Linked DNA regions of Lonchura striata. The protein of the gene in region 3 purifies or fractionates together with the protein of the main gene of each other region. This does not show direct contact. Links are inferred from orthologs where the notes say so. Each region holds a gene or a part of one and is shown on either strand. Other genes may lie near its edges.

Region 1 (7,935 bases), on a different chromosome or scaffold from region 3:
TGTGCTGCAATCCCCCAGGCCAGCCCATGACCCTCTGCTGAACTCACTCCCCTTTGCTGCTGTGTCTCATCCCAGGGGGGTGGGAGCAAAACTGCCCAGGTATTCCAGGTGTGGTCTAATGAGCGCTGACTAGAGAGGGCTGATCACTGCCTCTGATCCTGCTCCCACAGCCCGGCACGCAGGTGGCCTCCAGGGCACGCCGCTGGCCCTGCCAGCTCACCAGGCACTGGTATTTCCTGGCCCTTTGTCCCAAGGCTGCTCCCCAGCCAGGCAGTACCTGACCCACATCCCAGCAGTCCTGTCCCAGGAGCAGAACGTGCTGTCTGTCCTTGCTGAATTCCTCTGGCTCTGTTCCTGTAGGGCCCTTTGGAGAGCAGCCCTGCCTTCAGACATCAACTGCCTCCCCTCCAGTTTGGTGTCACCTGCAAGCTGCTTGTGTAGGTTCTGCAGCCTCCTCCAGGTCAGATGCTGCACCAGACCTCAGAGTCCTGGCCCTACAACCACAGAGAATTATCGAGGACTTCAGCAGATTTGTAAAAGCATGGCAAAATAGAAGGGTAGATGACTCCATTCCTCTTACCATAACATCCACTAAAAGCAATTCTGCAATCCTGGGCTCTCAAAGGTACCTCAGGGATATCCATTGCCTAGAACCCTCAGAAAACATTCTTCTCTGGAAATCTGTCACCGAGTCTGTGAAAAGGTTGACTCTTTGGGGAGAAGCTGCCACTGAAGTAGGCAGTGAAGGCCAAGGCTCCACAGTCAATGAACCTCCCAGCACTTCCAGACTTGTGCTGCCTGCAATGCCATTGAACCACTCCACGAAACTCCAAGAGCTGTGGGGGTGACACAGAATTCCTGGTAATGCCAGGAAGAGCTAAGCTGAGTGTGGTACAAGCACTTTAAGGGAATGCACAAGAACAAAGATTTTATCAAACAACTGCCTGACTTCACTCCCAGAGCAGCAAAATCACAACACCGCTCTTGACCCTGTCTCACCCTTGCACCTTCCCTCTTTGTACCAAAACTGCCTCTGGTAACACTTCTGAGCTGAAGTTCAGGAGCAGAAAGAGTTCACAAAACACATTCAGAATAGTGCAATCAGACTAAAGGTTAAGGCAAAATTTCCAGGAGAGTCTACAAATAGCTAACCCATCAAGCTGCCAGGCCACAAGCAAAATGTCAGGACTGGGGTTGCAGTGCTACACTCTCCAGCTCCTGTCACAGCAGATCATCTGCAAATCTTTCTGTGGCTTCTACAAACTCCAGTGATTTTGGCTGAAGCAAAATAAAATGTTAGCATTAACAGATTTTTAAATGTATCTTCTACACAGAAAAAGCAGCCAGTGCATGAACTAACCTAGTGTCACCATGAAAAGGCCAAAGGACTAATGGAATGATTAGCAACACTGCTTGAACCTGGGGTGTTCACTCATTTAGAATCTCTTTCCAAAGCCACAGGCTAGTTGCCATCCAGCTCCACTGTCCTGCTTGTCCTCAGCTTTCCATCACAGACAGTGGAGCCTTGTCACTGGAGTTTCACACGGGATGAGGGCACAACTACATCCTGGCCACCCTCAACCTCAAACACACCGTGCACAGATGACAACCTGCAGAACATGGGCACACACCAGGACACACATCTGGAGGTGAAGATCCCTGCAGGAGCTGGCCAGGGTCTACAGATGGAAGGGCTCTCCATGACCCTCATGTAACCCACCCTCAGACTCCAGCTGAGGTGGACCAAGGTACCCAGAGCAACAGCCCTGCTGCTTCACCACCATGGCCCCTCCACGTCCTACCCTGGTGAGCTCAGAGCGCTCCTTGGTGCCCAGTTCTCACACACCACCCCAGAGCACGGGCAGAGCCCTCCTGCCCCCTGCCCAGAGCAGTGCCCCAAACACGCCCCGCTGCAGGCAGGGGCCAGCCCGTCCCTCTGGCACCGAGCCCTGCAGGGGCTGCCTCGGAGAGAGACAAGCAGCTACTGCAGCGGGTCTGTGTGGATGGTGATGAGGGGTCTGCAGCGGGTCTGTGTGGATGGTGATGAGGGGTCTGCAGCGGGTCTGTGTGGATGGTGATGAGGGGTCTGGAGCGGGTCTGTGTGGATGGTGATGAGGGGTCTGGAGCGGGTCTGTGTGGATGGTGATGAGGGGTCTGGAGCGGGTCTGTGTGGATGGTGATGAGGGGTCTGGAGCGGGTCTCTGTGGATGGTGATGAGGGGTCTGCAGCGGGTCTGTGTGGATGGTGATGAGGGGTCTGCAGCGGGTCTCTGTGGATGGTGATGAGGGGTCTGCAGCATCTCTCTGGTGAGTGGAGACTGTGGGAGCTGGGCTTGTTTAGTCTAGAGAAGACTGAGAGGGAAATCTCAGCAATCCATACAAGCACCTCCACGGCGGGAGCCAAGAGGCTGGTGCCAGACTCTTCTCAGCAGTTCCCAGCGACAGGACAAGGAGCAATGGCCATAAACTAAACCACAAGAAGTTCCACCTCAACATGAGGAAGAACTTTACGTTCAGGGAGGCAGAGCGCTGGAACATCTCCCCAGGGAGGTCGCTGTCTGCAGACATTCCAAACCCACCGGGACGTGTCCCTGTGTCACCTGCTCCAGGTGACCCTGCCTGGGCCCGAACGATCTCCAAAGGTCCCTTTCAGCCCCAAATATTCTGTGATTCCGTGAGAGACGTCGGGCACACAGGGCAGCCGGCAGGAAATCAGCCACAGCCGCCGGCTCGAGAGACGAGGCTGAAGTTTCTGCCGAGGCCAAGGAGCAGTCGTGAGGCGAAGAACCGGGAACCGCTGTGGCGGCGGCCTGGGGTCCCCCCATCCCCTCAGCGCGGCCCTCACTCACCCTCCGTCACCTCCAGCACCTTCACCTGCTCCTCAGCAGCGGCTCGCACGGCCTGCACCGGGCACAGGATCCCCGTCAGCGTCTCCACCAGCGCCTCCTTCAGCCCCTGCGCCACCGGCCCGGCCCCGGGCCCGCCGCCGCCTCCCGCCATCGCCGCCCCTCCGCGCGCCGCGCGCGCCAAACGCACCGCGCGGGGGCGCGCCCGCGCCGCGCACCGCGCCCCCTGGCGGCGCGGCGGACCGCGCCACGCCGGGCAGGGAGCGGCTCGGACGGGATGGGAATGGAATGGGATGAGAATGGGACAGATGGGAATGGAATGGGATGAGAATGGGACAGATGGGAGTGGGACAGATGGGAATGGGACGGATGGGAATGGGATGGAATGGAATGGGAATGGGACAGATGGGAATGGGACAGATGAGAATGGGACAGATGGGAATGGGACGGGATGGGAATGGGACAGATGGGAATGGGACAGATGGGAATGGAATGGGATGGGAATGGGACGGGATGGGAATGGGACAGATGGGAATGGAATGGGATGGGAATGGGACAGATGGGAGTGGGACAGATGGGAATGGGACGGATGGGAATGGAATGGGATGGGAATGGGACAGATGGGAGTGGGACAGATGGAAATGGGACGGGATGGGAATGGGACGGGATGGGAATGGGGCGGGATAGGAATGGGAATGGGACGGGATGGGAATGGGACGGGCTGGGAATGGGAATGGGACAGATGGGAATGGGACGGGATGGGAATGGGACGGGCTGGGAATGGGACAGATGGGAATGGGACGGGATGGGAATGGGAATGGGACGGGATGGGAATGGGATGGGCTGGGAATGGGACAGATGGGAATGGGACGGGATGGGAATGGGACAGGCTGGGAATGGGAATGGGACGGGATGGGAATGGGACGGGCTGGGAATGGGACAGATGGGAATGGGACGGGCTGGGAATGGGACGGGATGGGAATGCCGGAGAACGGCGGGACGGGATGGGAATGGGACGGGCTGGGAATGGGACGGGATGGGAATGGGACGGGCTGGGAATGGGACGGGATGGGAATGCCGGAGCCTGGCGGGACGGGCCGTGCTCCTCTGCACCAACCTCCTGCTTGCGGGTCCTGGGGGTCAGCAGAGCCCAGCGTGGCCCCGCGCAGGGCCGGGGCCGAGCGGGGCTGGGCGCGATCAGCGCCCTCAAAGGCTCCGACCCAGCTCCAGGAGGGCCCGAACGAAGGGACTGGGCAGGAGAACTCACGGCGTGGAAAGCGACGGACCTGGGTCAGGCTGGGGAAACCTGCCCAGAAAATGTAACCCCCAGGCACGACCTGGACACCCCGTGGGCCGGACCGGACAGCAGGGTCAATGTGCTGGAGCCAGGACTGCTGATTGATTGATTGAGTGAGTGATTGAGTGATTGATTGAGTGATTTCTCTCTTTCTCTCCCTCTCTTTAATTCTCTCCTTTCTCTCCTCTCTCTCTTCCCATTCCTCCCACCCCCCTATCCAAACCCCACTGCCATGAGCTTATAGAGTAGATCAGGGATTAACAGAACAATTTCTATGACAAGTGTGTGATTTACTAATAAATCTTTGACTTTTTGTGGACCCTGTGACTTTTTTCCTTTTCCACCAGGAGTGTCTAGGGATCTTGGGTGCTCCTTCCCCTGTAAGACTGGGATGCCACAGTGGGAGCAGGGGACTGAGGCAGTGACCAGGGTCCTGTGGAGCACCTGGAGCCCCCAGAGAGTCCAGTGAACCCCAGAGCAGGGACCAGTCACAGGGAGGAAAACCCCCACTTCTTTTCCTACACATAGGTGTGGTGAACACTCGGTGTGAGCCTTGAGGAGCCCACCTGTGGTTTTTGCAGCTGTTTATTTAGAAAGTATAAGTAATTTTACAAAGCATTACAAGGATTAAAAAGCAGTATTGATCCATACAAAATGGGCTTCTTACCTGGGGGTGGTGATGGAGTTGTGTTTTGGGATGGGGATAGCAGTTCCCATACACTGTAGGAAAAATACTGTGACATTTTCTGTATCCAGTAATGATTTGGTCACTAAGTGCCCAGAAGTATGACAGTGATTTGTCTACAGACACAGTCCAGTGCCAGGGATGAGCCTGGCAGCCATGTTCAGAGAATCACAGAATCACTCCGATTGGAAAAGCCCTCCAGGATCATCCTTGTCAGCAGCCCAGAGCACTGAGTGCCGTGTCCAGTCATCCCTTGGACACCTCCAGGCACAGGGACTCCAACACAATCCCCTCGCAATGTTTAATCACCCACTCTGTTCAAGCTGCTGCACTTCTGCCCTTAGACCACCTCCATCCTGGGGGGTCACCTCTTTGCACTGAGAGCCCACCAACATTCCAGTCCATGGTGAGGGATGGCTCTCCTTGCCCACACCACCTCCTGTTTGAAAGCTCTGGAGTTTATCAAGTGAGCACCTGGCAGCAGCAGTATTTGGGGTTTATTTTTCTTCTTGTACTCTCTAATAACAAATGTCCAAGGCCAGGCTGGACAGGGCTTGGGGCCACCTGGAATAATGGAAGGTGTCCCTTCCAAAAGCCTGGGGTGGAACAAGATGGGCTTTGAGGTCCCGTCCAACCTCTGCCAGTTTGGGATTCTGCAATTCCACACATGTAACTTTTGCAACCTGAATTGAAGACTTTCTGTAAAAGCAGAAGGAGCAACTTGAGATGGTACACAAACCCAAGCCTGGGTTCAGCTCCCTGCAGGCTCAGTGAGTGTCCTGCTGCCCCCCATCCTGCAGCCCCACAGCTCCAGCCCTTCCCCTGTGCCAGCAGATGGGCTGGATCAGCACCAGAACCTGCAGGGCAGAACACACCTGCCCACACCAGCCCCTCTGGAGCCCCCTCCTCACTCTCCCTGCCTGGTCTCCAGGCCTGGGCAGCTGCTGCAAGGGCAGCTTCACATCAGCAAAGAGAGCAGAGGGGACAAAGTGCCTCTGGAAGCTCCTCGTGCTCACCTGAGCCACAGCCTGGGCAGCTGTGGTGAAAGCAACCAATTCCACTTACATAAACTTCCCAAGAATGAAGTTAGATTTCCTTCTGCAGAAGTTGGGCTGGTGGACCCCATCTTTCCCCCCAAATAAACAGGAGCAGGGGCTCAGGTCATGCCCAGCACTGCCCATACCCCAGTCAAGCCCTGCTCTTCCTGGCAGAGCACAGACTGCACAGAGAGGCCACTCCCAACCAGAGGAATGGGCACAACCACGACAGGCTGGGACTTCTGTAGCAAAAGAAGGGCACATTTCAGCCATGCTGCTCAACCCAGACTGGGCCCTGCCCTGAGTGGCACAACCAGGGAGCTCCTGCCATTCCTCTGTCATTGCTGGCCCCAGAGAGGTCTCTGCAAGAGGAAATGTGATTTTTCTCTCTTGTTCTTCCCAATCCAAAATGCTGCTTCTGCTAGAGGAATAAATACCTATTTTTATGTGTAACTTCTGCAAGCTCAGGATCATCACGCATTTCTGCACTGTCCCAGGATTTCAACTTAATAGGAAACGTGAGCTGCTGCTACACCAAAATCAGTGAGGCAGGAGGTCCAGATCTCTTCTCCCAGGAAACAAGGGATACGGCAAGAAGCAGCAGCCTCGAGCTGTTCCAGAGGAGGTTCAGGTTGGATATGAGGGAAAATTTCTTCCCAGTAGGGTGGTCAGGCCATGGCACAGCTGCCCAGAGCAGTGGTGGAGTCACCACCCCTGGGAGCGTTCAAAAGACGTGTGGATGTGGCACTTGGGGACACAGGTTAGTGGTGAACACGGCAGAGCTTGGGTGACTGTTGGACTCCATGGTCTTGGGGGGCTCTTCCAACCCTGTTGAGTCTGTGATTCTCTGATTCCATCACACCAGGCTATCACTGGCTCTCAGCACCAGCATCAGACCTGACACGTCTCTGCAAGTATCTGTTAGGAAGGGACAAAATGATCACAATTGCAAGTTTCCTCTGCCTTACAAACACACTGCAAAAAAAGAGGATGAGGTTTAGGGAGAGGAGGGGTATCCCAGAGCAATGCCAGTCTAGCCTGAGCTCCTTTTAGCTGAAGTGATGCATAACCACTCTGAATGCACCGACCCATTCTTCTGGATTTGTAGAAACTCCATTTATTTGAATCTTCCAGGCTTTTCCAGGAAAATTCCCACCTGTTTGGGAGCACAGGCTCTTCACAGGTTTCTGCAGGGATCCCTCATGCAAAGTCAGCACTCAGAGCTTGCTGGTCAAATACTTCTGCCTCCAAGCCCAACCCCAGCTCTGTCACCCCTTCTTCTGACTTTTAGGAGGACAGGTTCCTCACCACAAAAAGACATTCTTGGTATGCAAAGGTATTTTAGGATGAACTCCCTGTTTCTGCCTTTGCTGTTTCAGCTCAAAGCACAGCTCTGAGCTCCCCCCGCAGACCCACGCCAAGGAAGACCCCACAGGAAGTGGCATGGGACTACTGGAACCAGCAAAAAACCCCAAGAAATGGCAGGGCAGCACATGGAGCAGGGAAAGGATCAGCCTGGGTTAGATGGTGCTAGCCCAGCCTGTCCCCTCCTTAAAATTCAACTCCAGACAGTAACAAAAACATGAAAAGCCAAAATCCCAACAGACACCAAAGCAGCCCAAACACTTGACCCACACTCTCCAATATTGGTTTTAACTTCAATAAAGCCTGGATGATGGAGAGACTTTTCAAGTGAATTCCATGTGCTTTAGACAGGGGCTGCTGGTTTTACTTTTGCATGTTTAAAAGCCCAGCTCTTAGAGATTTCAAGGAACAAGCACACATAAATATATACACATATATACATAAAATCTGGCCCAGTATTATGATTAAACAAACAGCTAAATTCCTTTAAAACACTACTGTAAGCAGTTTTTCAGAACTTTAAAAACTGAGATGCCTAAGGAGCCTTTGTGAAGCTGCACCTCTGAATTTAGGGTACAATCACTATTTCTTTTCAACCACCTTGTAGCAATCCTTCCTCTAAGCAAGTGGAATTTTGGACCTGGCAGTCTATCACATGATCACATGGGCTTTTCTTTTTGTCATAAAAGACAAAAAATTGTTCCTT
Region 2 (7,713 bases), on a different chromosome or scaffold from region 3:
AGAGCTCTAGAATAAACCATATGATTCTTCCAAGGGGCTACCAGGAAAAATGCAAACTATTAGTTCACAGGTAAATTTACAAAATTAGATGAATCACACACAACCTTTCAACAGGCCTCTCTAAAATTATGAGCTCTATTTTGCTCAGTGAGGGTCAAAATTAAATATATACAATATTATAGTATCCCCAAATTCAACTGAAATTTAAAGCTAAGCAAGCTGATTAACAGATGCATTTATACCAGCACGGTATAAAGATTTTTTTTTTTTCTGTAACGGAAACCACAGAGGGAGCTTGTAAGCAAAACCCATGTAAACGTGCACAACTTATAAATGCTTCACGTCTTGCTTAAGAGTATTCAAGCGCTGTACGAGACATTTTGATTTACTGTCTCACTTTTCATTATATTACACACATTTTTTATACATAAAATACACCCTTGTCTGTACACAAATCACCTTTTCACATGGATTACCACCTGCACCTCTGATTTTCTCAGGAGACAAAGAGGCCTATATTTGCTCAATTTCAGTTTTTAAGCCCTTCAGAATGGCTAGAGTAGAAGCTTAGGTATTACCTCAAATACTGCTGTAGGTTGTCTCTTCTGAAAATTTTACTGATTTGCCTCCTTTCAACAACACATATTTACTGGCCAGACAATACTTGTATTAAATATTCATAACCTAAGCTCTCCAAACCCCAAAGAAACCATGCAAAGAATCTTATCCTCTAAAAGAATTAAATTAGGTCTGATTTTAAATATCTATTTCAAAGTACATGCAATGCCTCGCTGTAGCAGGGAGTGCCATCCATCACAACTCTCATCCCAGACCGCTGACTCATTCAAGATCCTTTCCTAGAGGTTCAAAAAAATATCAAGGCATTGATGCCAAGTTTACTCTGTATGCCCTCTATATTTCCTCCATAGCAATTTTTCACTATTTAATTAAAAGCTCTAAAAAAGTGTATTCTACGGTACCATTTTCCGAACTAAGAATATTGAAACAAGGCATTGTCCTACGTGTAAACGGCAATTTGAACATTCAAACTTAGTGCTTGGTACCCTGGAGCCAACTTGTGTTATAAAAGGGAGTACCAAACAGAACAGCGGAAGGAATTCTGCTGCAACAACTGCAGAGGGCTTTTTTTTCCCCCTGCACACAAAGGACACGGGTACATCCATACCTCGGCGCTACAGCCGCTCATGGCCGCGAGCCGCACCGTCCCCGAGTGCATTGCTGGAAGCTGCCCACCGGACTAAGCATGGCACGGGCCAATCAATCTTTTGTGCCCGACCAAGATTCGTCCCTTTCTTCTCTCCCTATTCGCTGCTAAAAAGAACTCGGTTGATTTTTGACAACCAGTACACAAGCAGACCTCGAGCTTTTGGGGCGGCCGGTTGACTCATCTCTCGCACCTTAAGAATGTAAAAGGGTTTCGTTCTTGCGCCGCGTATCCCGAACGAGAGCAGGAGACCGCCCGATTCCATTTTATCTGCCCTAAAGGCAACTCTCACCCTTGCACACAACCGCTTTTAACGCTCGGTTTTCCTACGGAACTTTTAAGGATACCACAGGATGGGTTACCCGGGACGATAGCCCGTATTAAGGAGCTGGGAAGTGGGATTACCCCTTTGTTTTATTCGCTTTTGCCTTTTTCCACTGGCGTTCTGCGGGTGATGGATGACAGGCCGGCCTCCCCGCCCTGCCCCCCTCGCCCTCCCCCGATGTCTGAGCAGCGGGAGGAGGTGCGGCCGCCTCGACCCACCGATAATGGCTGCGAGGAAGGGATCGATCGGGCCCCGCCGACTGCCGACCCCAGCCCCACCTCGGTCGCACCCCGCTCCCCTGCCGCCCCCAGCGTTTCCGCAGCTCCACTCGCCCCTGCGGCTCTCCTTGCCATATCTAAGCACCCGTGGTACGAGGAGGAAAAAAAAAAAAAAAACCAAAAAAAAAAAAAACCGGCCTCCTCCTTTCCTAAGATCGAGCTTCCCCCCAGCAGCACTCCCATCCCCCACGCCGCTCGGGTCCCTTTCTCCAGCCTCATCTCACCCCCCCGCCTTCACCGACCCCTTTCCTATGGCCACCCGCCCGCATCGGCTCAACCCGGCCCCCCTTCTTCCTCCCCGTCCCTCCTCCTCCTCCCCCCTCCTCTCCTGCTGCAAACGGCCATTTCTATTGTGTCTCTCGGTGCCAAGCCGAGCAGGGATCGCCCCGGCCGCTGCCAGCCGCACAGCCCGGCAGAAAATGGCTGGAGGGGGACGCCAGACCCACCCAACCCCCTCTTCCTCCTGCCCGCTTCCCGGCCGCCTTCCCGGCCCCCTCCCCGCCGAGCTGCCCCCGGGGGGAGCGCCGCGTCCCTCACCTGTGGTGAGCCGGGACGACACCTCTCCGAAGGGCGAGGGCTCCATGCGCAGGTATTTCTGCGGGGAGGAGGCAGCGGCGGCGAAGGAGGAGGAGGCGGCTGAGGCCGGGGCTGACAATGGCGCACATCGCCTTCGCTTCGGTGACGCCGGGCTCAGCAGCGGGTCGAAATCCAGAGTCCTTTTCAAAGTGGCGCCGCAAGCCATGGCGCGGAGCGGCCAAGGGGGCTCGGAGCGAGGGGCAGCGGTGGAGACAGCAGCAGCCGGCCCTGCCCAGAGGCGTCCTCCCCGTTGTCTGGAGTGGGCTGGGGGGGAGGGAAGGGAAAGGAGGGGGCGGCTGCGTCAGGGCCGCCTCCACCGCCTCCCCGCCGGCCTCTCTCTAGGGAGCGCCCCGGCAGCGGCAGCAGCAACCCCGGTTCAGTCCGGCTGGATCTCCGCTCTCCTCGCCCGCTCCGCCCTGCCCGGCCGGGACAAATTCCGCCCGCGGCCGGTGGCGGGACACGAGGAGTGCCGAGGGACGCGGTGCCGCTCCCAGGTGCGCGGTGCGGGGAGGCCGATGCGGCGCGATGGCGATGGCAGGGCCCAGGCGGCGGCGATGGCGGCGGCGATGGCGCTCCCGGCCGTAACCCCCGCACCAGCAATATGGCGTCAACAACAACGCCGCCGGTTCAAACGCCAACCCCCCTCGCCGCAGAGGCTCACGGGACTCGTGGTTTTCCCGTCCTGGCCCACGCCACTCAAAGACAGGATGGACTCTGGGGAGCTGGGACTACAGCTCCCGGCGTGCACCGCGCCGGCAGGGTAGGCTTCCGGGTTCTGGTTTAAATCCCCCCTGGGAGGGTGCGGGCTGGGGTGTGGATGGGGACGCGGTGGGATCTCGGGAAGGGCCGGCAGGGCCCCTCGGAACCTGGGGACACAAAAGGGGCGATGCTCCTGTCCTGCCCTGCCTCCTGACAGCGCAGGTGTCGAGCGGGCCGGGCGGCGGATGTACGTCCGCGTGGCTCTTGTCTGAACGTGAAATCGGGGGCAAAGTGCGTTTAGTGGCCTCCATGGTGAGGGTAGAGCAGGGAGGGTGCGGGAGTCCGAGGTGACAGCTAAGGACACGCATGGAAAGGCCTCACGACGTCGGGATCTGTGTCACGGCGTAACCCAGTGGTTTCCTTGCAGTTGCATAAAGCACATTCTTGCTTAAGGAGGGTTGTGAGGGGAGAGGTTCAAAGAACTATGAAGCTGCTGCTGGGAAGAGTACAGCTCTTTCCTGTGCAGCTTCCTGATTGAAACAAACTGTGTTACAGGTCACCGCAGTGGGAAAGTTAACAGAGACTGATAACCCCCCCAAATACATGTAACTTTTAGGTTTTATAATAATTATCTAATATTGTTAATTTAACCATAAACATGAAGACATGTTGTCTTTGAAAGACAAAATTATAAATATGCTGTCATAAAGTTTTAACACTTTGGTGTTTTTTGATTGTGTTCTGAAGTGTAAGCTAGACTTTCTCTAATAGCATAAAAAATCCCCACAGACCTTACCATCCTTTGGAAGCAGGATTTGCTGTACATGTTTGGTGTTTGGCATATATTGTTAATTAAGCCATAGCGGCACCCAGTCACAATCTGATTGTGCTGGCACTGTGGTTGTGCTGCTCTTGGGGTAGCTGAGGTTTCAGCTGATGGGGTGACCTAGCAGAGCCTTCCTTCTCAACAAATTATTTGTTTTCTGAGACAGATAGCTTATGACAATGTTGGTGCAAGCCTTGTCCTAAAATTAATACTTGAAAATTGCAGAATGAATCCTCTGCTGTGAGTTGTTCCTCCAAAGAGGAAGTACTTGAAGTGTTTCCTTTGAAATAAGGATGGTGACAAGCTTTTCTAAAACTAAGACAAGTTCTGCTTCTTTGCAGCAAGATTCAGGAAACGTCCTGATGTTATTACAGTATTACAATTGTCCTACTATTAGTGTACTGGTATAACTACTTCTGTGGATACTCTTCTTTGGAATAATGCTGGCAGGTTTTCCATTAATTTAATTCTTAATCTCCATTACATTTCCCTAAGCATATAGCTTTCCCTGTGTTTGGGCACCGGTGTTAAATACTCTTACCAAGCACTTAACCAAGCAAGACTAAGGCAAAATTGCTATTGCAGGCTTTGAATTAAGGGAGCCCCAAGTGTCTCTCAGTGTGTGTATGATGTACCTGTTTAGTTTGGAGTGCTCTGTGCCTTGCTTCTGCCATCATTTGTGTGCTGAGAAGTGCCTGTGTGTGGGTGTGGTAGTGGAAAAAAAAAAATGTTATGTTTCAGAGTAACCTGTACTTCCCCACTGAAATTATTTTTAGATATATATTCTGCATTCAGCAGCAGAAGCAAAAATTTGGTGACATTAACCATGTATGCACTAGTTCCTAAGGACCACTCAGGCACAATTTAAGTCAATTAAGACAGTCTGAGGAATCAGGTGAAACTTCATCAAGATAAGGTACTAGAAAATCAGCTTTTGCCAGCACAGGCAGCACTATAATTGTAAGCAATTGATTAGAACAGTGATTGTTCTAATCAACGGAGTTATTTGGCTTTTATCTGACCTTTAATTTGTTGAACTAAACTGAAGCAAGTCTGATTTAGGTCAAAATAAGAATTCACATAGCCCTTTGCAGCAAATTAAACCCAGACAAACCAACATAGCTTTGCATGTAGACAAGCCCTAAGGCAGTGAAATGTCCAACAGCAGTGACAAAGTGCTTGATGGTTGTCAGGGAACATGTGTTTTTACTTTCATTGTGGCAGGAAACACCATAGGGTCAAGGCTGCAAACCACTGTTTATATTGTTCTTTCTTCTACTTACTTATTATATAACCAATTTGCAGTGCCCCATTATGTGCTGCATGGGGTGCCTTTAAAATTATATATTATAAAAATATTTTTAAAATAAATAGTACCCACAAATTTTATTAATACTGGGAGTGGGAGAACTGATTCATAACTGGTGTTGTTCTGGATTTTATTGAATATGTACTTTGAGCATGACACCTGTTAAAAAGGCAAGTCCTGACTCAGGACAATATTTGGACCTCTGTACAGCTCTGATTGAGGTGGGAAAGTAACCCTTTCAGTGGATTGCTTTGGGATGGTGATAGAAATATAGTGGACCAAATATTAGGCTTTGTACAGTCTCTTTTCTTCTTCCTCCCCTTCCTTCCATTGCTCCATTTTTCTTTTTCTTCCTTTTTTTTTTTTTTTTTCGTCTTCCTCTCATTCTGTTTCTATACTATCTTGACTTTGCTTCATATTCCTTTTTCTTGAGACATCCTATTCATTTGATGCAGGATCACTGGCCCTATCTTTTCTTCTACACCATCTAATCATATTATTCTCACTTCACCTGTGGCTCATTTCTCATTACCAGTCATGCTTGCCAACATGGGACCACCGATTGGCTGAACAGTTTCTAGGGTTTGTTCATTTCACCACAAGTGAACAAAATTCACTTTAAGTGGTGTCATGCCACTTGAATTTGGACATGGATACCAAAAGCTTCTTATGTATTAGGCACATCCTGTGGTTGCAGATTTTGTGGACAAAATGCACTGGTGGTTATCTGCCATTATGTCAGTGAAGTGTTTGTATAGTGCCAAGTGAGAAGGGATTAGTTAAATTGAAAAAAATGGAGGTTAGTACAGGAATTGTAAGGTGGGAAAAACAGCTGAAAGAAAACTGGAATAAATTTCTCAGTCTGATTTGCTATATAGGAACACAGACAGTGCTGGCCAAAGGGAAAGGATACATGGGAACAGGAATGAAAGGCAGAGGTCAGTGAAGTTCAGCTCTGCTTCTTTAGATGCTGACTTATGCTCATAAACTGTACCAAAAATAATGACCTGAACCTGTAATATGCACTCACTTCCAATAGGACAAATTTCTTTCTTAGGTCTGAGCTACTAATGTATTGCCAACAGAAGTACAGAGGTATATTTCCCAATATAAAAGAGATTCAAAACACCTATTTCCTCTAAAATACTGTATATATTTCCACATATTCAGAAAAGATTAATTAAAACCAGAATCTGTATAGGAAAAGATAACTGAGCCAATTAGAATAATATAAAAGGGGGAAATTAGCCCCAGGGTAGTAAAGTGTGGTTATTTAAATGTTATTATCTGTACTAATTGTTGAATTCTATTATTTTTCACTAAAAGCACAAGGAAAAAATAAATTCAGGAGATCTATTTTAGTGATGAAAACTATGTTGATACAGGAACTGTCAGTTACCTCACCCAGACTGGAAATAAGAGGAGGATTTATTAGTGCCAGAGGAATGAGTTTCCAGAACACTGTTCCAGTGGCAGAAGTATGGGTAAAAGTAAACCCCAATCTTTAGTTGCTGGTTAGGTGTGCTTTAGGTAAGGCTTAGTATTTTTACAAAAAGGGTTTCTGTGGTATTGATGTTTTCAGTGACATGAGACTGCTAAGAATGACCCAGGAAGTTTTGTAATATAAAATGACAACAACAAAGTCGATGCAGAATGAAACATTTTACAGGTGTGCTGGTTTTGGCTGGGATGGAATTGATTTTCTTTTCAGTAGCTGATGTGGGATAAGTTTTGGATTTTTGACCAAAACAGTGTTGATAGTACAGGATATTTTCATTTTTGCTGGGCAGTGCTCACATAGCATCAAGGTCTTTTCTGCTTCTTATCCCACCAATGAGGAGGCTGGGAGAGGACACAGCCAGGACAGCTGACCCCAACTGGTGAAAGGGGCATTGCACATCATATGGCATCATATGCATATAAAGCTGGGGAAGAAGTGGGGGGGGGCTAGAAATTCATAGTTGTGCTATTTGAATTTCCAAGTCACTGTTGGGTGTGATGGGGCTCTGCTTTCCTGGGGATGTCTGAACACCTGCCTGCCCACGGAAAGCGGTGAATGACTTCCTGCTTTGCATTGCTTGCATGCACAGCTTTTGCTTTCCCTATTAAAGTGTCTTTATCTCAGAAAACTCTTATAAGTTTTCTCACTTTTACCTTTTCAATTCTCCCCCATCCCACCAGGGGAGTGGCTGTGTGGTGCTCTTAGTTCCTGGCTGGAGTTAAAATGTGACAACTTGAAAGGATATGAAGCAGGAATAACCCATTTGAGTCAGTTCACCTATATTCAGAATAATATATTGAAGCTATAAAAAGAAAATTACTAAACTCACTGGTGTATATGCATGAATTGTGCTAACAGACCTGGATATAGAATAATTAGGAAGCACTGAATAAAATTTTGCAGCTCTGACTACTGCAATTACCTCAAAGATTTCAGGAAAGCATCAACTAGCAAAGCATGCATGGATCAGTACT
Region 3 (7,797 bases):
GTAACTCTCGATGTTACATCAAACATGATGATGGCACACTGAGCTGCAAGAGAAGGAAAGTCAGGTTACACCAGGCACAGCCACTTGCTTACAACAAGGGATGGAGAAGAGGAACACAGAGATTCCCACATCAGGGTGAAGCATCTGCATGAACTCTTCCCTCTCGGCATCACCGCTGTGGCAGCTGCTGTTCTGTTAACCAGCTCTGTGCAGGAGCCCACAGAACCAGCCCAGGGCCCTATCACCTCACACCTGTGCTGCCCCATAGCAGAGCAGCTCCTCTTGCTAGCTCAGCTCTATCCCTGAGCAACGTGGCATTGCACCATGAGACTATACAGACTATGGAAGCCAGTGTGGATGTACCCAAATGCCTGGCAGAATCAGTTTAATTCATCTCAGAACTGGTTTAATTCATCTCAGACATGCCAATAAGGCTTAAAGGTAGGCTGAGAGCCTGTGGTCCACATCTCAGGATACCCGTGTCCAGAAGGGCTTCTCAAGGACCTCAAGAATACTTTACGAAAGTAAGATACACTAAAGATGTGCAGGGTGAGTGAAGAAGCAGGGGACAGGTATTTGCCAAGCAGAAAGAACACTGCACATTTTCAGAAAGACAGACTCTGGCATGAAGGTGTCCAACTGCATCATGGTATTGAAAATCTCAAGTTTCTGTGTTCCAAGGCCTTGCCTGAGCACAGCAATCCAGACAGAAATCTGCACTTACTGAAGCACACGTTGTCACCCCTTAACCACCGAGTGCTGCCAGTGCTATTGGTCATTCCATCAATACCAAAGCCCACAAAACACGCTGAAACACAACCTTACTGTGTTCCCACGTTGTCTGGCAAGGGACATTATTCTCTCCACGTAAGAGCTTGAGTTCTACGCCAGCTCATCACTGCAGCCACACTGACAGCTTGCAGCGCAGCCAGCATGAGCAGAAGGAAGGACTGAGCTGTAAGAGGTACAGAACTGTCCCCCCAGATCTTACCTTGGATATAGTAGCCATCACGCAGGCCACCAAACTTCTCCTGGCCAGCTGTGTCCCATACGTTAAATTTAATAGGGCCTCTGTTAGTATGGAACACCAGAGGATGAACTTCAACACCCAGTGTTGCTAGGGAAATAACAAAAAGCAGTGCATTTAGCAAGTCACAGATTGTATTTTCATTTGTAAGATACTGGAGCTCAAATGTTTCTTCAGACATACCTACATACTTCTTTTCAAATTCACCAGTCAAGTGACGCTTTACAAATGTTGTTTTACCAGTGCCACCATCACCAACCAGAACAAGCTGAGGACAGAAAAAGGAAGAGTCAGAGCAATGCATCTTGAGACACTTATCAGTCATTCCAGCACAGATACTACTCATTACTACAAAGAGCACAGCTCCTACAAGGTGCTGTAAACAAAGACAGAACTCCCCATGAAGCAGCTCCCTGTGCTGGGAACCAAATCTGTTAAGTCCACCCATCATGCTGTAACTCTGATCAGTCTTATCCAGCCCTTGTAGGCAAGGGCTGCACTGCAGAATATTTAGGGCTTTCAACCTGACTGTAACCAGATTCCAAGAGGAAATTATCAAAACATCCACTGGAGAAAACCTTTGCTACCTTAAAATTAAAGAACCCACCAACATTTGCACCATAAACTGAAACACACTAGTCAAGAACTGAAAGAAACACAAGTAACAACCTTCAAGAAAGAGTCTTCAGGACTTCTGGCTGTTAAGGTAACAAAAAGATAACCACCACCCCACCAGCCACTCAAAACACCAGAAAATTCCCTTCTGAAACACTTGCACCATTAGCACATGACAGAAAGCAAGCTACTCTAATTCACTCTGGGCAGCTTCAGTTCTTAAATTTAAAAATCATTCTGTAGGTAAAGATTCATTGAAAGCTATCAGACTGAATTACAGATAAAATAATGACACAAAAAAGAATTTAGAAAATAGTTTAATAGAGTCTTTTTGTGCGAGTTGTATTCAACACTTCAATAAATCGCCCCATTAAGGGAAGACCAGCAGTTCAAAACCAAACCCACCATCCACGTAGGCACTCGAGAGTGGTTTGTGTCACTTTTCTAGCGAAGGGAGAAAAAGCCCCGAAGGAAAGCGGGGCAGCGCGGCTTACCTTAAACTGCACTTGCGGCTCTCCCTGGGCGGCCATGCTGCTCTGCGGGGGAAATGGCAGCGTGAGCAATGGCAGCGTGAGCGGGCGAGCGCGGCGCGGCAGCGGCCCCGCCGGAAGGCGCCGCCCGCGTGCGGCGGAATGGCGGCGCGCCGCCGCCCGCCGGGCCCCGGCCCCGCTCCCGACCCGCGCCGGGCCCCCCGGCCCCGCTCCCGACCCGCTCCCGGCCCCCCGGCCCCGCTCCCGACTGCGCCGAGCCCCCCGAGCCGGCATCCCCCCGAGCCGGCATCGCCCCCGAGCCGGCACCCCCCCCGAGCCGGCATCCCCCCCGAGCCGGCATCGCCCCCGAGCCGGCATCGCCCCCGAGCCGGCATCCCCCCGAGCCGGCAGCCCGCCGCCGCTCGGGAGCCGCCGCCCGCCCTGCGGCGCTGCCGCCGCGGCCGGGCCTGCCCGCCGTCAGCCACCATGACAGAGCAGCGCCCCTGCCCCGGCCGGGCGGGCCGCGGGGGCCCCGCCGGCGGCCCTCGCACCGCCCCCTCCCCGCGCACGGCCGCGGCCCGGCGGCCCCGCTCGCGGGGAAAAGCCGCCACGCGCCCGGGCCCCGCGGCCGCGACGCTCCCTCAGGCACGGCCCGCCCGGCCCGGCCGCCAACGAGCCCGACCGCCGCCCCCGCTCTGCAGAGCGGCCGGGCGCGCCCCGATGGCGGCGGGAGCCGGGCCGGGCCGGGGGGCCGGGCCGGGCCCGTACCTCTGCCGAGACTCTCCGCTGCTCGCTCCGTGCGGGCGCAGGGAAAATGGCGGAAGCGCCGTTCAAATACCCGGACGGCGGCGGCGCGCGGCCGCGGGCGGGGCGGCGCCGCGCGTCACGTGGTGCGCGGCGCGCGGGAGGCGGCGGGAGGCGGGGCAGGGCACCGGGGAGAGCGGGTATGGCACCGGGGAGAGCGGGTATGGCACCGGGGACAGCGGGTATGGCACTGGGGAGAGCGGGTATGGCACCGGGGACAGAGGGTATGGCACCGGGGACAGCGGGTATGGCACCGGGTACAGAGGGTATGGCACCGGGGACAGCGGGTATGGCACCGGGGACAGCGGGTATGGCACCGGGCACAGCGGGTATGGGACCGGGTACAGAGGGTACGGCACCGGGGACAGAGGGTATGGCACCGGGGAGAGCGGGTATGGCACCGGGGAGAGCGGGTATGGCACCGGGTACAGCGGGTATGGCACCGGGGACAGCGGGTATGGCACCGGGGACAGAGGGTATGGCACCGGGGAGAGCGGGTATGGCACCGGGCACAGTGGGTATGGCACCGGGGAGAGCGGGTATGGCACCGGGTACAGCGGGTATGGCACCGGGGAGAGCGGGTATGGCACCGGGGAGAGCGGGTATGGCACCGGGGAGAGCGGGTATAGCACCGGGTACAGAGGGTATGGCACCGGGGACAGAGGGTATGGCAGCGGGGACAGAGGGTATGGCACCGGGGAGAGCGGGTATAGCACCGGGGAGAGCGGGTATGGCACCGGGGACAGAGGGTATGGCACCGGGTACAGAGGGTATGGCACCGGGGACAGCGGGTATGGCACCGGGGAGAGCGGGTATGGCACCGGGGACAGAGGGTATGGCACCGGGTACAGCGGGTATGGCACCGGGGAGAGCGGGTATGGCACCGGGGACAGAGGGTATGGCACCGGGTACAGCGGGTATGGCACCGGGGAGAGCGGGTATGGCACCGGGGACAGAGGGTATGGCACCGGGTACAGAGGGTATGGCACTGGGGAGAGCGGGTATGGCACCGGGGACAGCGGGTATGGCACCGGGTACAGAGGGTATGGCACCGGGTACAGAGGGTATGGCACCGGGGAGAGCGGGTATGGCACCGGGGACAGAGGGTATGGCACCGGGGAGAGCGGGTATAGCACCGGGGAGAGCGGGTATGGCGCCGGGGAGAGCGGGTGTGGCACCGGGGACAGAGGGTATGGCACCGGGGAGAGCGGGTATGGCACTGGGTACACTGGGCACAGCCCTGAGCACGGCACCGGCCACACCGGACATGGCACCGGACACAGCGGGCACAGCACCAGGCACGACCACAGGCACAGCACCGGGCACGGCACCGGGCACAGTAGGTACGGCACTGGACATGGCACCGGACAGAGCAGGCACAGCACCGGGCACAGCGGGCACAACAGCGGGCACAGCCCCGTGAGGCAGGCTGGCCGGAACGCCCGTGATTTTCCATCCTTCACACAAACTGACCTGCACTCACTGCTGTGCAGTCCTGAAAGCAAAACTTGCTTTGGAAGCCTTGCATTTAGAATAGCTCTCCAAGATCTCAAAACTCTGCCCAAACGTCAGTGAAAACACTGAGTTTCAAAGAGTGTAAAACTTTTGCATGTGTCTATAGGTACCAAGTTCACGGGTTTGCTCTGATTTTTAATGCCTCTGGTATTTTTTTAATCCAGTATACTTCAATTACTTTTATCTTCTTTGTTGCTATCCCCATAATCTAGAATAAATAAATGATACGTTTTTACATATATCTCAATGAATGGAATTGACAAGGAAAGTATTTCATGGCAGCTGATATATATAAATGTAGTTTATTTCTTGTTAACTTCCTCTGACATAGACACAAAAAATACACAAAGCTTTACAAGACTGGCTGGCCTGTGCTGTAATTTTTGCTTATTTGACAGTGTAATGCCAATCCAAACGCTGTGTGAGATTTCCTTGGGAAAATCACTCAATTTGCCTTCCCTTTTTGAGATGAGTTGGGTTTGTGTGGGGTTTTTTTGCATTTTTGCTGAACGCCTCTAGGTGTCAGGATTATTTTTTCAGAATATGCAATTCATCTTTTATTTTTCTCAGCACAATGCTATCCTGGTAAAGCCCTTGCCACACGGGCCGTGCCGCACCATCCGTGTCTCACCGCCCGCCCGCTGTGCCCGTTCCATCGTGCCCGTTCCGCCGTGCCCGCTCCGCGGGGCCGGACTGCCTGCCGTGCCCATTCCCCACTCTCCGTTCCCGTTCCTCCGTGCCCGCTCCCCGCTCTGTGTTCCCCGTTCCTCCGTGCCCGCTCCCCGCTCTGTGTTCCCCGTTCCTCCGTGCCCGCTCCCCGCTCTGTGTTCCCCGTTCCTCCGTGCCCGCTCCCCGCTCTGAGTTCCCCGTTCCTCCGTGCCCGTTCCCCGCTCTGAGTTCCCCGTTCCTCCGTGCCCGCTCCCCGTGCCCGCTCCCCGCTCTGAGTTCCCCGTTCCTCCGTGCCCGCTCCCCGGTCTGGGTTCCCCGTTCCTCCGTGCCCGCTCCCCGGTCTGGGTTCCCCGTTCCTCCGTGCCCGTTCCCCGCTCTGAGTTCCCCGTTTCTCCGTTCCCGTTCCCGCTCCCCGCTCTCTGTGCCGTTCCTCCGTGCCCGCTCCCCGTGCCCGCTCCCCGCTCTGTGTTCCCCGTTCCTCCGTGCCCGTTCCCCGCTCTGAGTTCCCCGTTCCTCCGTGCCCGCTCCCCGCTCCCGCCCGCCGCGCCCCACGTCACGCCGGCGCCGGGCGGGGCGGCGGGCCGGGCCGAGCGTGCGCGGTCGGTCTGTCGGTCGGCGGGCGGCCCGGTCGGTCTGTCGGTCGGTCCGTCGGTGGGTCGGTCGGCGGGCGGCCCGCGGGAGCAGCGCGGAGCGCGGCGGGCAGCGGCGCCGCGGGGATGAAGGACCGGCTGGCCGACCTGGCGGAGGTGCGGGGCGGGCGGGAGCGGGCGGGGCGGGACGGGGCGGGCACGGGCACCGCCGGGAGGGCCCCGCCGCCGCCGGGGCTCCTCGGACCGCCGGGGCTCCCGGGACCGCCGGGGCTCGGGGCGCGGTGCCGCCCTCCGCGGTGCCGCCAGCGCGCCGCGCTCCGCTTCCCGTGGCCGGGGTAACGCCGTGCCCGGAGCTGCCCGGAACTGCCCGGTAACGCCGTGCCCGGAGCTCCCCGGTAACGCCGTGCCCGGAGCTCCCGGTAGCGCCGTGCCCGGAGCCCCCGGTAGCGCCGTGCCCGGAGCTGCCCGGAGCTCCCGGTAGCGCCGTGCCCGGAGCTGCCCGGAACTGCCCGGTAACGCCGTGCCCGGAGCTCCCGGTAACGCCGTGCCCGGAGCTCCCGGTAGCGCCGTGCCCGGAGCTGCCCGGAACTGCCCGGTAGCGCCGTGCCCGGAGCTCCCGGTAGCGCCGTGCCCGGAGCCCCCGGTAACGCCGTGCCCGGAGTCCCCGGTAGCGCCGTGCCCGGAGCCCCCGGTAACGCCGTGCCCGGAGCCCCCGGTAGCGCCGTGCCCGGAGCCCCCCGGTAACGCCGTGCCCGGAGCTCCCGGTAGCGCCGTGCCCGGAGCTCCCGGTAGCGCCGTGCCCGGAGTCCCCCGGTAACGCCGTGCCCGGAGCCCCCGGTAACGCCGTGCCCGGAGCCCCCGGTAACGCCGTGCCCGGAGCTCCCCGGTAACGCCGTGCCCGGAGCCCCCGGTAACGCCGTGCCCGGAGCTCCCCGGTAACGCCGTGCCCGGAGCCCCCGGTAACGCCGTGCCCGGAGCTCCCGGTAGCGCCGTGCCCGGAGCTCCCTGTAACGCCGTGCCCGGAGCTCCCGGTAACGCCGTGCCCGGAGCCCCCGGTAACGCCGTGCCCGGAGCTCCCGGTAGCGCCGTGCCGCGCCCCGGGCGGCGGCGGGCGGCTCTGTCCGCTCCCGGCCGTGCCGCGGCAGGAAAGCGCCTGCCAGCCGCGTTCTCCGCGTGTTTACAAAATGGTGCTGCCGCTGGTTGTGGGCGCTTTTCCTTCCCCGCACTCCTGCCTTGGAAATATCCTGAGAAAGAAGGGAGAGTCCGGGCACAGGCACCATCGGTCTGTCTGCAACAGGATACGGCTTGGGTAAAAGAAAAGGATACTTGAGATTTTTTGGTTTGGGATTGTTTTTGGTTTTTTCCTGAAAAGAAATGGAAGTGGAGAACACACAGGAGTTCCTGGGACGGTTCCAGCACTCCGTGTATGTGTAGAAGTTGGGCTGTGTGCGGCTGCATTCAGCTCTGGGGCTCTTTCGTCTTCTGGATCATAAAATACATTTTGGAAGCTCCGTCTCTAGTGATGGAATTACCAGTCTCTCTGTCTTCCTCTCTGAAAGAATGAATAGGCATTGAAGAAGTTTTAGGATTATTAAATTACAGTTTCTGTACCAGGAATGATGTTTTGGAGCAGTGCCAACAAACCAGTGTCCTTTCTTTCAGGCACAGTTATTTCCTTTCCCTGTTTCTAAACATGTCCAGGCTGTGGGAACGCGTGCCAGATTTCGGTGCTGGTGCACACCAACCAGACAGAGGAAGCAACCAGTGGTGATCCAGTTGGCTTTATAGTTCTATACCCGCAGACTTAATCCTGTTCTCTGTTTCTGTAAATGGAAGAAACCGATTCCACACCCTGCCACACCCCCCACTGACAGGGTTAAAAGTGTTTAATGCAGCTGAACAGAGGCATTTTTAAGCCAGCTTTAGTATTTGACATCTGAAAACATTATTGCAGTGGGCTGCTTTTTAAATATGTATCAGCCAGTATTGCTGAAGTGCTCATGTGTTCATCAATATTGTTTTTACTGCCTGTAGAATTAATAAATAGCTTAGAAACTTAAAAATTTTCTTCTAATGAAGAAAATATTTAAACATGAAATGCAAGTAA
Region 4 (7,009 bases), on a different chromosome or scaffold from region 3:
AACTCCACAATTCTACTCCAGGAACACCCACCAAAGAGATACAAAAAGGCTCTTTTTGTTCTGTGATTCCCCCACCTCAAATCTTCATGGTTAGTGGATACTGTCCTTACCTCATTGTGCTATTACTTTTTGTCTCTTGGTTTAATAATACAACCACTGACAGTGCATTTTTTATAAGGCAGGATGGTAGCCCAGAAAGGAAAATACTGTGGTTAAGTTCCTTCACTACTGGGGGAAATCTACTCATAGCTCCATCTTCCAAGAGAAAATAAAAGCTGCAAGTCACATCCTCCAAGCAGCATCTGTTCATCTCTCCTATCTGAGATTGATTCAAAAAAAACCTCCACAGTTTAAAAAAAACAAAAACACATGCAAATATAACGCAATATGGCTCTATCAGGCACCTGGGGAGAAAAGGGCAGGAAATTCTGCACTTTCCATGTTTATTCCAAGAATATATAAAACAAATAACTTCTGAAATCATGGATCACAGGCTGTATGTCTCCACTCTTGGAAGGTAACATCTTCTTATACATCCTCTTCCTGGCTCAATGAATCACACATTCTTTTTCTGGATAATAACACAGTTTCAGTCAGAAGAACTCAAAGACAGCATACAGCTTGGCAACTGGGATATTTGCCCAGAAAGTGGAAGATGTAGGTTGATGCCTCTAAGTAAAAAAAAAAAAAAAAAAAAAAAAAAAATCTAAAACAGGGTCTACCACATTTTGAACAAATGCTTTAGCTAATCATCTTTGAAAAGCAGCATCATCTCCTCTTCCAAATATCTTCTAAAGCCATTGCTGCACTTAATGGAAGACTGACTGCAACATGCTAGGGACCACTGGAGAATTCACATGTGACCAAGCTCCCTGGGAGACTATGGCAAAACAACAACATCAAGAAAGCATAACAACTTAAGAAAAACATACAACAGGCCTGTTATAAGCCTGGCATCATGCTACTACTCATCTATCATACAAGTGGAAAAGAATCAGATATCCTAAGAACTGTAAAGATTTTAGCAATATGGCATTCAGTGCTTAGGCACCTTCAGAGCTTGGTGATAAGAGACTGCAGTCTTGATCTAAAGCACTTAGAACAGTTCTAATACAGTACTTCTATGAGCTCCCTTATTGATAAGTTAGGGGAGCAGGAGATCATGTCCAGTCTGCACTGAGCACTTCTATGTCTTCTCAAACTCATTACTGAGAGACAACACCAAACCACAGAATACTTTCTGCAGAGTGGATGTTTTATTGAAAATAAAATTATCAATTAATTCCAGTTCAAGTCAGCTATCTACCCAGAGCTCATCTTTTTATGTAACGCAGGTTAGCAAGCTACATAGGGTTAAAAAGCCATAACTTATGACAAATGCACATCTGACACCTATCTGTTTGACTATTTACCATTTCTTCCCCAATATACTAGTTAATTTGATTGATGTATTCAACTTGCAGCATCCATGCTCTGGGCTGCATCTCACAGATATCCCCCCAGGCACATGTTTGCTTTGCCCCATTGTTTAAATAAACCTACTAGAAAACCCGCAGAGGTAACAGACAATAGAACAATCAGAAAATCATCTCACCTAATTATTTTTAATTCATCTGTTTTATTAGTTATCTACACAGTATCACCATGTGCAGCATATTGAAATTTCAACATTACTGTTGTTCACGTAAGAGCTTTCAACATTTGCTCAGCAAGTGCAGTGATTCTTTGGATGAAGAGTCACCCTGCCCACTTTACAAGGACAACACTGCTGATCAGTGTTATACAAAGGATTAAGAATCGTACTTCCCAAATAAGAACTAATTGAGCAACAATTTATGCATAACATGCCCTCAATTTTGCCTATAATATTTAATCTCCTGGCTTATATTACCGATTTAATAACGCTTGGTTTTACAGTCAATTTCAGGTTCACAAATACACGTGAAAGGCATTTCCAGAGCACCATCTCCAGGCATCTTGAAATTCTCTGACAAACAGGAGTTAGGAAGGATCTTTGCTTCTACTCTCTGCAGCCATTCTAAATGGCATAGGATCTTTGTAACACAATTTACAAACTGCTTTTTTTCTGTTATCCATCTATTCTGTCCCACAACACAAAGAAGAACAAATGCCTCATGAATTACATTGTGCTTGCACTGCACCACCACGTTTAGGGACAGGCAAGACACTAAAAAAAAAAACCTAAGGGTTCTGTAGGCAGCATCCTATTAAAAAAAAAAAAGAGAGAGAAAAAGAAACCACAATGGAAGAGATGCCCAACTACCCAGCACCCTCACAGCCTCATTCGCAACCTGGAATTTGTCAGGAAAAGCAAATATTAGAAACGATGCACTTAAATCTGAAGACTAACTCTAACTTGATAATCCAGTTAAGATCAATTAAATTAGGATTTAACCGGGCAGCCCAGAGACAAAACGAGCGAGCATCCCGTGGAGCGGGAGCCAGCCCGCTCCAACCGCGAGGAGCGGGAATGCGCACCTACGCCTGCCCAGCCGCCTCCTCCTCCTCCCGCCTTTGCTCCTGCCTAGCGGGGGACACGCAGAAGACAAAGGGGAGGCGAGAATCCCCCCGCAGCCCGGCGGCGCCGGAGCGGGGCGAGCGCCCGGAAATCCCACAATGCCCATGGTCCCGGCGGGAAACGCTTCCCTCCTGCCTCCCCACGGGCCGCTCCACCGGGAAACCCCGGCCCGAAGCCGCGCACGTGGGGCTGCGTGGAGAGCGGGGGGGAGGGCGGCGGAGCAAAGGGGCGGCTCTGCCGGGTCGGGCCTCCGGGGCGCCTCCTGCCGCCGCGGACGGGAGCGCCGGGGGAGAAGCGGGGTGGGAAGGGAAGGGGTTCACGGGGCTGACCCGCCGCCTCACCTGCTGCTTGCCCCTCGCGTAGGGCGGCTTGGCGGCTCCCAGGTGGTGCCGTCGGGTCCGGATCTTGCCGCCGCCGCCGCCGCCGCCACCCGAGGCCATGATGCGATCCGGCCCGCCGCCGCCGGCGGCCTCGTCCTCCTCGCCCAGGTGCGGCCGCTGCGCTCCGCCGCGGCCCGGCAGCGCTGCCGCTGTCACCGTCCCCGCGGGGACGCGCCCGGCCGGGCCTCGCTCCCCCCGCGCCGCTCCCGCCCGCCACGCGCCGCGCGCGGCCTCTGGTGCGTGCGCGGGGGGCTCCTCCGCGGCCTCCGCCCCGCCCCTACCCGCGCGCGCGCGCGCTCTCGCGCGCCTCTCCCTCCCGCGCGTCTCCCCTTTCCCCGCGTTCCCTCCCGATCCCTGCGCCCGCCGCTCCCAGCTCCGCTCTCCCGCCCGGCGGCGGCGCCCCGCGCGCTGTCCGCCCGCCCGCGGCCCGAGCCGCCGCCGCACCCCCCTGCCCTGCCGACCAACCACACGGCGGCCGCCCCGGGCCGCGCGCGCGTCACCAGCCCGCGCGGGCGCGTCACACAAGCGGCGCCGGACCGACGGCCCGGCCGCGCACGCGCACGCGCACCGCCCCCGCTGCGAGGGAAGCGGGAGGGGCCGGGCCGGGCCGGGCCGGCTGCGCGGGAAAAGCGCTCGCTGGGATCTGCCGCGACCGCCAAGGACGTGGCGGGGGACGTGCCTGCTCGCGGGCGCAGCACAGGGACGCCTTGAGGGGACACGAGCGGAGGTTCGTGCCGGGGTCCCGCCGCGGGTGACTCCGCCGCCACCTCCCCTCTTCCCGCAGCGTTTCACAGAATGACTCAGGTTGAAAAAGAGCACAGTGAGTCATCTGATCCAACCTTCCCGCTCAAGCAGTGTCGTCCCAAAGCACATGGCACAGGATTGCATCCAGACAGTTCCTGACTTTCTTCAGTGAAGGGAGACTGGCACCACCGAGCAGAGCCTGCCTCTGTCCTTCTGACGATCTGCCCCCAGGTACACAACTTACCCACGCGTGAGGGGGATGTTTCCCTTGTCCCTGACGAAGAACAGCATGGACAATGAAGCAGGAAAAACGGCACCAGGAAAAACGGCACCAGGAAAAACTGCACGGGGAAGCCCACAGTGCTCCCCCAGATTGCCACTAGCGATCGAGTTTGTGTAAGCAAGAGAAAACAGCAGGTGCAGGTTTTTCATCACTAAGTGGTGGCCTATGGAAAGGAGGTAGGGGAAAAGGCTTCGCCGTGGCTTTTACTTCCTCAAAATATGAGGAAGAGTGCATTCCTATTACAAAGTTTAAATACATAAAAATGTGGGATTTTTATCTTACTGAAAGTAAAGTTGAGAAAACACTATGGTTTCACTCTTTATTTTTAGCATCAACTTGCCGTGGGAAGGATGGAGCTGAGCAGTGCAAACCAGCACGCACCTGAAGAAAGGTTTTGGAAATTATGGGGAGCTCAAACAAGGGTGATTCTGAAGGCATACAGAAAGGTAAGCTGGCAGCAGCTGCAGAGGAACAGCTGTAAGAAATGGTACTAGGAAATTTTGTGTTGCCTCATCTCTGCTTCATACTGGTTTTTTTTGAACTTCACTGGGGTCCTCCTAGCTCTCTTACATGACTTGGCTCAATTTCTCTGTCCCATTTTCATTAACTATAGGAAATAACTATTATCCAATACCTAGCATAGTGGAATTATTTTCCAGATATTTCTCCTCATAAAACTACACTCTTACTCTCACAATTAAGAATACAGTTTTACATGCAGGGGGATGACCTGCAGTGATAGACGATCCCTATCCTGGAACATGCCTGTTTGAAGTCACCTGCAAGAACCACCTCATTTTGCGTAAACGGCTGATGTGCTACAGCTGCTGACTAATTTTAGGATGATGGTCTGCTTCTACAATGGGCATTTCTAGATCTACATCAGTATAATTATCAAAATAGGAAAAAAATAGTATTTTTGCCTGGATTTGCAATTCTTTTTGTCCAGGAACCAATTACCATGCTAGCTTTCAGCTTAAGAGAAGGGGAAGGAAGGCTAGCATAATGTGTTTCCATTATGGGAAGAGCGAGATTTACAGAGGGGATGGAAACTGCACGTTGGTAACATACATTCATTAGTAACAATGCTGGCTTCTAAAATGGTACCTGCGTGGGGAACTGACTAAAATCATTCTTGTGCTGGTCAGGTAGGAGCTGAACAAATTTAAAACGAGCTTCCCTCTTCATGTATGCTAAGAATATTAAGGTAAGCTGTAAACACGATTTTCTCTTCCATATACATGTCAAATGCAGCTACACTAGACATTTGCTCTATAAATTCAAGTGCTGCTTTATTTACTTATTTTACCTATTTAGAACAATTTCCATATGGTGACATACCTTTAAAGAAACTCATGACTCAGAAATACTTGTTGATGTAGTCAATGTCTATTGACATGAGTCACTGAAGTTAAATAAATGTCATTAAAATGAGACAAAACAAAAGGCATATATATATATATATATATATCTCCAGCAGAACGATAGTGATCATCACCATTTGATCAATCTTCCCTGTGAGTTATATCTGCAAGTTACTTTGAGGTAGTGCTAGAAAGAAGCTGTTGGTCCAAGAGCATCCCTGCAAAAAGAAACATTCACGGCTTAAGTACCATTTAACCTTTTTGAACACTTTTCAGTCTTCACTGGTTTTTAGCCTGTTTTTTCCTCCCTGTTCACTGACTACAGGATCATTAGCCCCTCAAACCATGGTACTAAAGCTTTTCTGTTCAGAATAGTAGAAAACAAAAACATTACTCTTCTTCAAGAATTAAGTGGGTTTTAGGTAAAGGCACTATCTATCACAGCTAGGTACAATGAAGAGTTTATAAAACCAATACTTGATATTCTTAAAAAAAACCCTTTCATCAGACTTAAAAAACTCCACAACTTTCCAGCTGGGCAAAACAGACAAAAAAAAGAAACAAAGTGAAATAGTGTAGTGTTGAAAACATTGGTCCCAATACTTTTTTTTAAATGTTTCTACTGCAATTAGCTCTTTGCAGAACTGAGAGCAGGCATCTGTATCATGGACATGTTCAGGTCTTTGTGTAGGCTTGCTAAGTGAGGCAGTAGCTGGACCAGTGCTTAAAGTTTCCCCAGTTAAAAGTCTCAGCAATGAATGCCAGCAGATCTGATGCATTCACTTTTTCCCTAATTCATGCTTACACCAATACCAAAGTTTTTTCGGTGTGCATTTACAGTAAAGAATATGCTGCACACAGTATCTTGATATGCACTCCTAACTGGTAAGCAGTATAGACTAGAAAGGCTCAGGAGACAGAAAACAAAATCAGAGAGCTATTTAAAACAGCCTCACACAGGCTGCAACCAGCAGACTTCCCTTCTTCAACTCACTTTTCTTCTGTGCTGACTAAAGAAAATACATTCCCCAACATTTCTCAGGTTTGCACAATTAATGGCTCAAACAACCTCCTTCACTACATTTCATAAGCAGTATTTTCACTATACAGGTACTTTACAGCCCAGAACAGAAGATGCATGTCTGAAAATAGTCTATAATGCAGAGTGTGGAGACCTTGCTAAGATGTAAACTCTGCATAAATATTGTGACTACAGACTCTGATGTTTATGTGCTGTGGTAATACAGTGCTGATTAAAGTGAAATCACACAACTACATGGGCTCCTTGTTATATAATTCACATATGGATCAAACTCCCAAAAGCTAACAAAAAAAAAAAAAAAAAAAAAAAATCAGTGGATACTCTATAGTATTTCTACCAAGCCAACATGCACCCTTACTATCTAATAACACAATGAAAGGTTTCCACAAATTACTTGCTACAGGTAAAGTATGATGTTAGGTAACGCTATGCAAAGCAGGATATGCACTTCAAAGCAGGACACTTCCAGGTCTGTGCCTGGGTTATAATCTTCCAGCTTGTGATGACAGTGCTTGTTGGATACAAAATCCTTTGCCTAGCAACTGGTTTGTACTACCAAGCTCAAGCACCCCAACTGTACACTGCAACTAAAGTGACAGCAAATCCAGCATGATTTTGAAAGTTTAACATCCTCACATCAAAATTCAAGGGGCCTGC

What was found.
Region 1: the proteins of RAN (region 3) and IPO9 purify together in Homo sapiens (affinity purification with mass spectrometry; 3 studies listed by BioGRID and IntAct, with this or other methods). This does not show direct contact. The link is inferred for Lonchura striata from reciprocal best matches to the Homo sapiens genes RAN and IPO9.
Region 2: the proteins of RAN (region 3) and AKIRIN2 purify together in Homo sapiens (affinity purification with mass spectrometry; 3 studies listed by BioGRID and IntAct, counting the BioPlex papers as one, with this or other methods). This does not show direct contact. The link is inferred for Lonchura striata from reciprocal best matches to the Homo sapiens genes RAN and AKIRIN2.
Region 4: the proteins of RAN (region 3) and NUP153 purify together in Homo sapiens (affinity purification with mass spectrometry; 5 studies listed by BioGRID and IntAct, counting the BioPlex papers as one, with this or other methods). This does not show direct contact. The link is inferred for Lonchura striata from reciprocal best matches to the Homo sapiens genes RAN and NUP153.

The regions. Positions count from the first base shown.
Region 1 is NC_134632.1:386,241-394,175, forward strand, and holds the start of IPO9 (importin-9), read right to left. Parts: upstream 3,014-7,935; 5' UTR 3,000-3,013; coding exon 2,849-2,999; intron 1-2,848. UniProt on the Homo sapiens protein: Nuclear transport receptor that mediates nuclear import of proteins, such as histones, proteasome and actin. Serves as receptor for nuclear localization signals (NLS) in cargo substrates.
Region 2 is NC_134605.1:78,763,474-78,771,186, reverse strand, and holds the start of AKIRIN2 (akirin-2), read right to left. Parts: upstream 3,003-7,713; 5' UTR 2,571-3,002; coding exon 2,366-2,570; intron 1-2,365. UniProt on the Homo sapiens protein: Molecular adapter that acts as a bridge between a variety of multiprotein complexes, and which is involved in embryonic development, immunity, myogenesis and brain development.
Region 3 is NC_134620.1:14,955,520-14,963,316, reverse strand, and holds the start of RAN (GTP-binding nuclear protein Ran), read right to left. Parts: upstream 3,003-7,797; 5' UTR 2,881-3,002; intron 2,179-2,880; 5' UTR 2,173-2,178; coding exon 2,137-2,172; intron 1,296-2,136; coding exon 1,211-1,295; intron 1,118-1,210; coding exon 992-1,117; intron 44-991; coding exon 1-43. Other genes in the region: STX2 (syntaxin-2), read left to right, coding at 5,817-5,846. UniProt on the Homo sapiens protein: GTPase involved in nucleocytoplasmic transport, participating both to the import and the export from the nucleus of proteins and RNAs. Switches between a cytoplasmic GDP- and a nuclear GTP-bound state by nucleotide exchange and GTP hydrolysis.
Region 4 is NC_134603.1:90,606,371-90,613,379, forward strand, and holds the start of NUP153 (nuclear pore complex protein Nup153), read right to left. Parts: upstream 3,018-7,009; 5' UTR 2,980-3,017; coding exon 2,881-2,979; intron 1-2,880. UniProt on the Homo sapiens protein: Component of the nuclear pore complex (NPC), a complex required for the trafficking across the nuclear envelope. Functions as a scaffolding element in the nuclear phase of the NPC essential for normal nucleocytoplasmic transport of proteins and mRNAs.